3 linked regions of the Arabidopsis thaliana genome follow. The protein of the gene in region 2 binds, or shares a complex with, the protein of the main gene of each other region. Each region holds a gene or a part of one and is shown on either strand. Other genes may lie near its edges. The genes, in order: PSRP6, RPL27 and RPL21C.

What was found.
Region 1: RPL27 (region 2) and PSRP6 share a complex: the UniProt entries of both Arabidopsis thaliana proteins name them as parts of the 50S ribosomal subunit.
Region 3: RPL27 (region 2) and RPL21C share a complex: the UniProt entries of both Arabidopsis thaliana proteins name them as parts of the 50S ribosomal subunit.

Annotation. Positions count from the first base shown.
Region 1 is NC_003076.8:5,905,503-5,909,036, reverse strand, and holds PSRP6 (plastid-specific 50S ribosomal protein 6), read right to left. Parts: upstream 1,449-3,534; 5' UTR 1,290-1,448; coding exon 900-1,289; 3' UTR 573-899; downstream 1-572. Other genes in the region: CSA1 (disease resistance protein (TIR-NBS-LRR class)), read left to right, coding at 102-163.
Region 2 is NC_003076.8:16,409,043-16,412,708, forward strand, and holds RPL27 (ribosomal protein large subunit 27), read left to right. Parts: upstream 1-1,739; 5' UTR 1,740-1,823; coding exon 1,824-2,126; intron 2,127-2,425; coding exon 2,426-2,527; intron 2,528-2,611; coding exon 2,612-2,803; 3' UTR 2,804-3,072; downstream 3,073-3,666.
Region 3 is NC_003070.9:13,207,047-13,210,804, reverse strand, and holds RPL21C (Ribosomal protein L21), read right to left. Parts: upstream 2,123-3,758; 5' UTR 2,029-2,122; coding exon 1,714-2,028; intron 1,404-1,713; coding exon 1,323-1,403; intron 1,090-1,322; coding exon 988-1,089; intron 880-987; coding exon 805-879; intron 649-804; coding exon 559-648; 3' UTR 377-558; downstream 1-376. Other genes in the region: CDPK2 (calcium-dependent protein kinase 2), read right to left, coding at 2,747-2,887, 2,973-3,197, 3,281-3,448, 3,520-3,635, 3,734-3,758. UniProt on the Arabidopsis thaliana protein: This protein binds to 23S ribosomal RNA in the presence of protein L20.

The sequences.
Region 1 (3,534 bases), about 11 Mb from region 2:
TTGCCTCTGTTTTCACACTATTTATTCTTTCGAACTCTCTGTATTTGTATCTTCATTGTGTATTTCTCCAGATGATTTGACTTAAGCTTTTAAGGTGTCAGGGTTTAATGGGTTCAACGGGATGTACTCTGTATGCGTGCTTTATGAAATGTATAGCCATTGATGTTGATCTTGGAATTGACTCCATAAACATGCAATGCAAGATAAATCGATCTTCTAAATTTCTCCTGGGACTAGACCGATACAAGATAGATTCAAGAATCAGAGTGATCAACCCATAACTGATATAAACATTTCTAAAAATGTTTTTGCTGAAACTCTTCATCAAACACACTTTAGATCACTTGGCTTAAAAATCTACAATAGAGTGTTTAGACCAAGTGTTGCACTATGGTGAGCAGAGCACATTGCCGTTTCACCTGAATCCAATCTAAAGGGAAATTTTAAAATTCCAATAATGCGGTATACTATACCGTACTCTTTAGAAGCTACATTCCCATTGCTATGGCAGCAAACAGAGCATTTGACAACAACTCCAGCATCAACCGCCACAAAACAGATACCATTGTGCTTTCATTTTCACATATCAAACTTAAACTCTTGTCATCCCAATTCAATTACTACTTGCAGAAATTAATGAGACCCAAAAGGAAAAAAGCAATTATAGAGAAGCAACATAGATGACAATGACGAGAGCTATAAACTATAAAGTTGAGACCTTTAAACTCAAAAACAGAGGAGAAAGGTTGAAGCTTTATAAATCGCAAATTTGGTCCATTCATTCACCAATCAAACACAAACAAACCCAACAACAAACATCAGAAAACTGAAAACACAGTAAACAACAACAAAAGTTCTCAAACTAGATTACAACCAAATCAGCAGATAACTCATACCAACTAGGCAGCGCCTGAAACCAAATCTCCCGCAGCAGTGGCAGCACCACCGTCGTCAGAAGCGAGAGTGAACGGACTCCATTCCGCCGGAAGAGGAGGAAGAGGAGCGTAAACAGTAGGCTTTCTCTTAATGTCCCAAGGCTGAGTCTTCTTCGGCCTCGTCTTCCTGTGATGAGCCGTCGATTTCTTCTGTGGCCTCGACGAACACTCTATCACCATCCCTAATCCTCCTCCATTACCCAATTTTGGAACTTGAAATTGGCGGAGAACCGGAGAAGCAGCAACGGTGACGATTCCGGTACCAAAGATCGCTGACACAGACATGGTTTCCTTATCTTTGTGCAAGTGAAAGTGAGTTTGAGCCTCTTGCTTCGGATTAGAGAAGAACTTCATATCTTCGTTTTCGTTTTTCCTGGGCTTTTTTATTGGGCCTTTGAGGTGTCTATTGGGCCTTTGTATATAGTTATGTAACTCGTTATGCTGCAAGCCTGCAGGCTGCAACAATCTATAAGATAAGAAGAGAACAAAAATTAAATTATTAGTGGCATCGAACTTTTTGTTGCTTAAACGTATCGAACTGTATAACCTCGTTAATTAAAGGAATTTAAGAATAGAGTAGCTGATTAAAAATGTATATTTTGCAATTTGTAAAGATGTCATGTATGATGTATACAGAGTTTTAAATGTTTTCTTTAACCTTAAACCAATAATGCTACAAGTGACTACGAGATAAGGTCTTTTGAATCACTTCTACAATAAAATACATTATTTCGGATTCTGCATCTTTTAATACTACACAAAAAAATACTTTTTTTATTAGTTTGAGTTTTAGGATTTATTTATATTCAAAGTATGCTTATTAAATTAATAAATTTGAATTTTCTTAACTTTGTTGTGTAATTTTTTTTTTCTTTTTTTTATAAACAAGACACGATTCATAGTCAATCCTTATTATGCGAAGTAACACGACTTAGTAGAGTCAAACTCTGGTAAAAAAGGTAGAATCAAATGGATTTAACTACTTAACTAAAAACATATTCTCATTTATGGTGTAATTTAGTTATCGAATTTGAGGAAGAAAACTAACTTTTTGTTTCAAAAAAAACACTATAAAAATGTTTATGTTATCATTGCTTCCTCTCTTTTAAAAAAGAAAATAAAATTAAGCTAGCGAACATTTATGTGAACTGACATTCGAAGACATCCATTCTAGTGGCTTTTAGGGTTTTTCAATGCTGCCAAAGCGACCAATAAATATATTTGTCCAAAACCTGTCTAATACTTATGGTTAATAATGTATTATACCTCAATAACAAGCCTAAGTTAGGCTTCAAACTAGCTACTATCACCAACCTAACCAATTTCACATTATATCAAAATAATCAATTGTCAGCGAAAATTGCGATTGCCATGAAAATTACTCTTCTTTACGTAGACTCAAAAACATTTACTAAAATTATGGCCCAAAATAAGATTACTTTCTTCTACGTGACTAGCATTATCCAATACATTCACCAAATCCACGTGCATCGGATTATCACCCCTTATTTTGTTGTCGACAAATTTGATTCTTTGGGTTCTTTATTTACAATAATAGTACTACGTATCTCTATATCAACAGCTCAGCCACTCGATTACACTAGTACGAAGAGATTCTGTTGGTTAGATCAAATTAGGTATCACAAACCTACGGTACCCATTGTTGCATTAGTATATAGTTTCGCAAACCTTATCCTTATCTTAGCACCGTTGAAATTATAACCGCGAGATAACACTTATCTGACTCTTTTTTTTCTAATCCCACTTATATATCAATCAATTTCATTCATTTTTAGAATCACGAAATTTGATTATTTGTCTTAAGTACGAGTCATCAACCATGGATAGTTAAATAGTTTTTTTTTTTTTAACATCTTGTTTTATTTTATTAGAATTGAAAGAAAGATTACATAGTTATTAGACACACACATATAACCAAAAGATGATTTAAGTTTAAGAAGAAGATACAATCGAACAAGTGAATTAAACAAATTAAATAGTTATACACGATATAACACATACATACATATATATAACACATACATACATATATATATATATATTTGTTTACAATATTATTTGATGGTTTTATATAAACAAATATTAGTCTATTTACAGGTAAGTGTCTTGTATAAAGGCCTAATTTGAGCCAGTTTTAGTCATGTGATTGCATTACATCGAGAAGAGAACCATATATGAATCGATTGCTCTCGTCCGTTTGCACTTTGCATTATTGCGTTATTTTGTTTTCTTGGAATTAGAGTTTGTATTTTGTACTGCACTAGCCATGCCAGCTAAATGAATATACCAGGAATCTTTTGGATACTTTTTTTGTTTATCAATATTTTTATTTCGGACCTTAATTAAAGGAAATTGATCTTGGTCGGAAATATTTATATATTATCTAGAAAATTTTAAAAGATACGTAAAACAAGCTTTTCCTTTATGAAAAACGATCGATTATTATTTAATAGAAATGTATAATAATTTCATGTTAAAAAATGTTAACAGTTTTCAATAGAAATATCGGTTACGTTGCATAAATATTTATCTGACTACAAAGTAACGTTGTGTCAATATAGAGTAAATGACATAACTC
Region 2 (3,666 bases):
GGTAAGACCAACTTTTTTGAGAAGAGAGTTGGTGAGTATCAGAAAGCTTCTGTTATGTCTAGTGTTCATGGAAACGCTGCGTTTAATGATGATCATGTCTTCAAGCTTGACGAGGATTTTTAGATTTTGCTTACTTGCTTTATTTTTAGTTTTGTAATTTTCAGTATAATGAAAAACAGATGAAGTTTAATTTGATAATGGACATTTAATTTCTTAATTATTTAACATAGTTTTTACATGGTTAACATATAACTAATCCGGATCCTAGTAATTACATGGGTCTACCCAAATCCAAAAAGGATTGGAGCCAATGACTTTGCTATATATTTCGTTCTTAAGAACATTGCTAGGTTTCTAGCTATATTGGTTTTGCCTCTTTATTGGCAGAGGGAGCACAAAGAGAATCCTCCCCTTTCGACATAAAAATGTTATTTTCTCATGGTCTTTTGGATGATTAGCAAGACTTACTCTTAAGTTTTTGCATAAGTATCTTACATCACTTTCTAACTCAACCTTCGAAATATGCATTTGTTTCAAACAATCCAGTGTTCATTTCCAAGTAGGTGTAGTGACTTATGATAAGAAAGCATGTCGATTATGGTAAAAATATTTTAGTGGCTGTTCACAATAATTCTATGAGAGAGAATCATTAGTAGGCAAATTGAATAGGAAACAGACATGATATCAAATTCTTTTGAAGGCAGAAAGAAATGAAAATATAGAAAACATAACTAAAAGAGAATAAACAACCAATTACCATTTACCGTTCCAAAGACCTTCATCGTCGAATTTCAAGAACAATGAAGGTCTTTGAAAGATACTTTTGTCAATAAATATGAAAACCATAAACAATTAGTAGAGATGAGAGATCACTATAACTCTCCTATGACTTTCCATCCAATCAAAAAGAAAAGTTTGTGTCCATGTCTCTATAACTCTATCCAACTTCTTTAAGATAAGATCATTTTCTCGCTTATTACACCAAGTATACAGCGGACCATGGGATGATAGGTCTCAAACAAAGCAATAGTTTACCACTGATTGAAAGTCTCTCATTCCATTGGTATAATAGGGTTGTCTTCAGCTCTAGAATGCTCCACAAGTTCTAAAATCTCATTAAAATCTCCAAACATTATTTAAGGCTTGCTACTAATGACAGGAGAGTCATAGTGATCTCTCATCTTGTTCATAATACTTTTTTCTCCTCTAACCAACTAGACAGTCTATGAAACTCAAATAATATAATTTTTAATTTTCGGTCAAAACTGTAAAAACATGTCAAAATCAAATAATATTTTTTTTTTGCCAAATCAGAAAATTACATTTTTCCGCCAATGTAAAAATAATTTTTAGAGTGACATTGTCAGTATAAATCCTAATTTATGTTTTAATATTATAGCTAAAGTCTATAATTATTTTTGGCTGCTTCTTGCATATTATTATTCTAAGTTTGGTTTTTGTTTTTATCTGAGAAATTTCTACTATATAATGAATATTTGAAACTGTAGTCTATATATTTAGATTTAATATTTTATACAACAAGTTGATATGGCCGAGTTGGTCTAAGGCGCCAGATTAAGGTTCTGGTCCGAAAGGGCGTGGGTTCAAATCCCACTGTCAACATTCACTTTTTTCTCTTTTTCCATTATTTACTTGCTGACGTGTACTCACCTTATCTTACATTATTTGATGACGTGTAATTTTAGTGGTCACTAATCGAGAGAGTGAGACGAAACGATAAGGAGAAGAACTTCTTCTTCAACCTCAGAAAACCCTAATTTCTCCATTTCGAAACTCCAACGAATTCTCTGGTGATTTTACCAATGGCGATGGCAACATCGATGAGTTTGAATCTAATTGGGGCATTCAAAGGCTTGTCTCTTTCTTCGACTTCGTCTTTTCTTAGAGGCGATTTGAGTTTTTCCCCCAAAACCTCTTTCACGGTGACTCTTCCTCTGGAAAATCTTCAAGCTCCGATTCCGTTGACAATTGAATCGGCCCATAAGAAAGGAGCTGGTAGCACCAAGAACGGTCGTGATTCTCCTGGGCAACGACTCGGCGTCAAGATCTACGGTGACCAAGTTGCTAAACCTGGTGCTATCATTGTTCGTCAACGTGGCACTAAGGTAACACTTAAGAACACAGAATTGTTGAAATTGAGAACCTCTTAAGCTCCTCTTTCAATTCTCTTCTAATTTCACCGCAACTCTGTCAATTTGGTCAGTTTCTTATGGGTTTAGCTCTCAAGCTCTGTTTTCAGATTCCATTCTCGAACACATCTGGGTTTAGGATGAATTTTCGTATTTAGTAGCTCTTGTTTCTGATGCCATTGCCATTTCTCTGGAAGTTCTACGTTATGTTTGTGTTTAGGATGGAACTATATTGTTTGAGAAGATTGATTCATGAATGGTGATGTTTGGTGCAGTTCCATGCTGGGAAAAATGTTGGGATTGGTAAAGATCATACCATCTTCTCTTTAATCGATGGATTAGTCAAGTTCGAGAAGTTTGGTCCTGACAGGAAGAAGGTATACCTGTAGTTATACTGAGTAAGGTTTATAAGCTTTCTTAATCTTCTAGGATGTTAAAGGAAATGAGACTTGTTTTTGCAGATAAGTGTGTATCCAAGAGAAATTGTACCAGAGAATCCCAATAGCTACAGAGCAAGAAAGAGAGAAAACTTCAGATTGCAAAGGGAGAAGAAGAAGGCGAGACGCGAGAATTACTCGTACACACTTCCTACACCAGAACTTGTTCTTGCATCTGCCTCAGTCGATGATGCTGAAGCCAATCCGGAGTGCTAGAAGATTGAATGTGGAGTTTCCTTGTCTCTTTTTGTTTAGTCTTGTTTATGAAAAATGATCCTTTCAGAGTATTAAGAGTTGGTTGTATTGTCGAATCCAAGCCTCTCTTTTGTCAAATTGAGTCCCAAGCAGGCGGATTTTTACCCAACTTGAGTTATTAGTGTAATCAAATGGTTATTGTTAATTAGTCAAAGCCTCAAAGGTTTTAATTTAGTGAATTTCTCTTCCAACTTAGTAATTCTGAATCATTGATAAGAGAGACCACCAAACCTTTGAATGCCCCAATTAGATTTAGTCAAGTATAAATCTAGTTCAAGTGTCTATTTGAGGTTTTTTTATTATAAAAATTATAAAACTTATTTGGATCCCAAAAATGGATCCATTGTTAGTCTAAGAAGCCGAAGACTTTATGGGCCTTCTAGCGAAATAATGGGTTTTAGCCCAATTACTTAGCATTTCGGAATATGTAGATAGTGGTACAAAAAAGAAATTGAATAATATTCATTTTCGTCTATCATTGCATAATTAGTGGAATGAAATTATTATTCTATGTTTTTTTTTTTTCATTTATCTATATCTTGCTCATCTTGAATCCATCAATTTCGCTAACGTTTTACCTGTACCATATTAGATCCTTTGTGTTATCTTTAGGCCATATTTCACCAGCTTGAGGTCAAATACTTATACACATGTATGTAACGATATATATATGTAAGATGACGATATATTATTGAATAACACTAAAGGCCTAGAGCAAAAATAGTAATTGATGAGAAGTTTTAAATTCTAGGAGCAGTAATTAAGAAGAAGAACAAAGACAAATCCTAAAACAAAGCATATCAGTAGTAAAACCTTGTAGCACA
Region 3 (3,758 bases), on a different chromosome or scaffold from region 2:
TGTTGTGCCACTGAAGTGAAAAGTTACAACCCAACATGTATACAACCAAACTAATAATCGGAGACAATCTATCTTTTGCATATATATAATAAAAAAAACTCATTTCTCAATTCCTCATCAGAAAATCACCATAATACATCTCACACTATTGGTGCACATAATGTCTTTTACTAGAAAATCGCAACAACATATCAAAATTTTGTCAAAAACATATCAAAAAACACCATAATGTCTTTCATGTGTTTGTGCCTTTGCGGACGGAAAAATGTTATGGACGGTCCCGTCCATTTTCAAAATCTCAATATCAATTTCTGTATTTCTGTATTGTGTCCACTGAAGTGGTAGAAGTTGTTTTATTCTATAAAATTCATTAGTATGCGTAGATTGATGGATGAGCTATATTGAAGTTTTCATACACTAACTTAGAATTTGTGATCAAAGAATGGCAAAAGGTACATATTAATAAAAGGAATCTCAGCAGAAATGAAATGACCAGGGTCCTTACAAAATTACATAGAGAAGATCAGAAAAATTTTAACATTCAAGAAACATTTTGTGTCAAAGATTTACTTCTCCAACTGCAACATTGGGCGAGGCTGGATACTCTTCATACCCTGTGATTCCGGTAATCCTAATCCTCGTATTCGGCTACAATATCAACACATAAGTCACAACATAAGTGTCATTACTTCAAAGAGATTTCAGTTTCATCAGCCATAGCAAATTACAACAAGTAACTGATAGTAGTCTGTTGATTGTAACATTACATAGTTCAAATATAAGGAAGAGGACTTTCAGCAATACCTGTCTGTGACCGATATTTCTACGGTACTTCTTCTTAGGCTTGTACTTGAAGACTACCACTTTATCATTCAAACCCTACAACAACAAATGACATTCCGGTTATTCCAAGTTTAGAGGCGACTACATAGTCGAAAATACAAAACCACCAATCAGAAATTTAAGAAATCGTTTGTATTGACTTACTTGACTTTCCACAACAGCATGTACAGTGGCATTGGTCACAACCGGCTTGCCAATGTAAGTGTGTGTCTTTGTTCCAACAAGCAACACTTTGTTGAGAACAATCTGCACAAGAGAAAAAACAAAATATGAAAACTTCAGGAATCACCAAAAATGCAACAGAGAACAGCTTAACACAATGTTAACATAGGCAAAAGAATAGAACTTCTACACAAGCCACAAAGTTTACTCAATCTTCCATAGTTACATCATCTTTTCACAGATATACCATTTCGTACACAGAGTTTTTTACAAAGAAGAACACATCACATAGTCATTGAAAGCAAATGTGCATATACCTGGTCATCAACATTTGCATCTTTTAGCCTCTGAGTGTAGAGATATCTCCCTGGAAACACTATGTATTGGCGTCCACCAACCTATTCAAACCAAAGAGAACAACACTAAGCTAAATCAGAGATTGCAAATGAGAGAAACAAAATCAATTATAACAAAGCCAAACTCTAAACCTTGAAGAGTATATGCCACAAAAACACAATCTCTCCCTTAAGAAGTCAACATTCGTTAAACCTAAACCCTAAATCTTAAGAGTAGATACCACAAAAACACAGTCTCTCATTATCAAAACTCTAAAATCAAATTCATCAATCAACCAAACCTAATTCCGAATTCCAAAAGCTAAACACCGAAATTGAGAATTTGTTGTTTCGTATGATTCAACAAGCTCACCATAATAACAGCGAAAATCTCTTCTCGTTTAGCTTTTTCCTCAGTAACCTCCGAAACATCGGAAACCACCACAGCTTCGATATCGGTAGTCTCCGGTTCAGCTTCGACGACTGATTCCGCGAATTTCGGAGCGACGGTGAATGCGGTTCGAGACGTCGACGCAGTGGAAGGAGAAAGAAATCCAGTCAGAGGTTTAGCCAAATTAAGCGAAGGTTTAGAGAGAGAACAGAGGATAGTGCTAGAACGGCGAGAATTGACATTGCAATGAGCAGAGAAAGTAGAGCAGAGAGAGAGCGTCGCTGAAGAAGACGCCATTGTTTTCGACTGAGAGAGAGCTCTAAGCTCGAGACTTTGGAGCTCGACGGAGAATAAATCCGCAGTGTTATCCTATCCACTTCCTTTGAAAATTACCATTGTACCCCTGTCTTCAAATTGGTTTAATTTCTAAGCTTGCAATTTCGGTTTACCGGTTTATTTCGGTTCAGATTTTGGGTTTTCCAATTAAGTAATATATTATATACACATCAATTTTGGTTTTGTTCGATTTTTGACAAAAATTATAATTCTAACTACTCTTAATCTCTTTATAGTGTTTAGTGTATTTAAATGTACTTTATATTTAATTAGTTATATTAATTCTGAATATTGGTTAATTACAAATTCACCAAATTTGGTTTCAATTTGAGATTTGGTCTGGGTTGTTATAAGAATTTAGATTTGGTTTGGGTTGTTATAAGAATTTTCTACAGTTTCACAGTTTGTATTATAACAAAATTACTTATGAAATCCGATTTTGGTTCGGTTCGGTTTCTTTTCGCCATCCCTAAATCACATTTCTTTGGAATTCAAAAACTTTTATATGAAGCAAAAATTATCCATATGAGGATAAAAATTTAGAAAGTTGCTCATGTACAAAAATAAAAAGGAAAGCAAAAAACAAGCCAGAATATATTTTTGTATCCTTAGAAATTAGAATTCAAAATATAAACGAAATTAAAGAGAAAAAAAACAGAAATTGTGGAAGAATGATGAGTCAGTCATCAGATTTTTCACCATCAACTCCAAAAGCATCAGCAATGTTGAAGTTCAAGTTCTTCATCATGGTTCTGCTTCTCCCAACTCCATCTCCTTTCCTCATCATTGCTGTAAACTCCGAGAAATCGATCTTCCCGTCCTACATAATTCAAAAGCTCTCGGTTATAGTAAAGTAACATTGAAGAAGGAGGTAAACAAAGAGAAGAAGAAGAAGAGTGGTTTACATTGTCAAGATCAATCTCCTTGATCATGTCGTCCAGAGGTGTATCACATAGACCAAACTCTGTGCAAGCTGACTGAAGCTCATCGATGGTGATATAACCGCTTCCGTCTTTGTCAAAGTACGAAAATGCAGCCACCAGATTCTCCTCTCTCTCCATCTTGTTCATGTGTAAGGTTGCTGCTAGGAATTCTCCGTAGTCTATTGTACCACTGTTGTCGATATCAGCCTGTGACCACAACACACAGAGGATGTTAAACGGAAACAAAAGTTTTTGAAAAGAGGAAAGAGTTTGTTTTGGTTCTTTCATACCGCATCCATGAGAGACTTGATTTCTGATTCCATCAGTTCAGATCCGACTCTCTTCAAACCCGCTTTGAGCTCTTCAAAAGTAATCGTTCCGCTGTTGTCTGTGTCTATCATCTTGAACAATTCCTTCAGACCTCCAATTTCTTCCTCTGAAAGTCTCTCAGCAATTACCTGTGTTCAGAGAAATCAGCATACGGATTGGACATAAAGAAAAAGCGAATGTATATTACTCGAATTCATACCCGTAATGCCATTTTCTTAATCTTATTCATTTGAGAAAACTGCTTTAGACGAGATAAGACTGCTGGATCAAGAGGCTTGTCTGGTGCTGCTTGTTCATCGACAATCCATGGGTGACCTATATAACATTCAGAGCAAACTCAATACTCATTATTTACCATAAAAACAATTCACAACAGTTGCTAATTCCAAATGAACAACAAAGAATGAACATACACAAGGCTTCATGAGCAGAAATGCG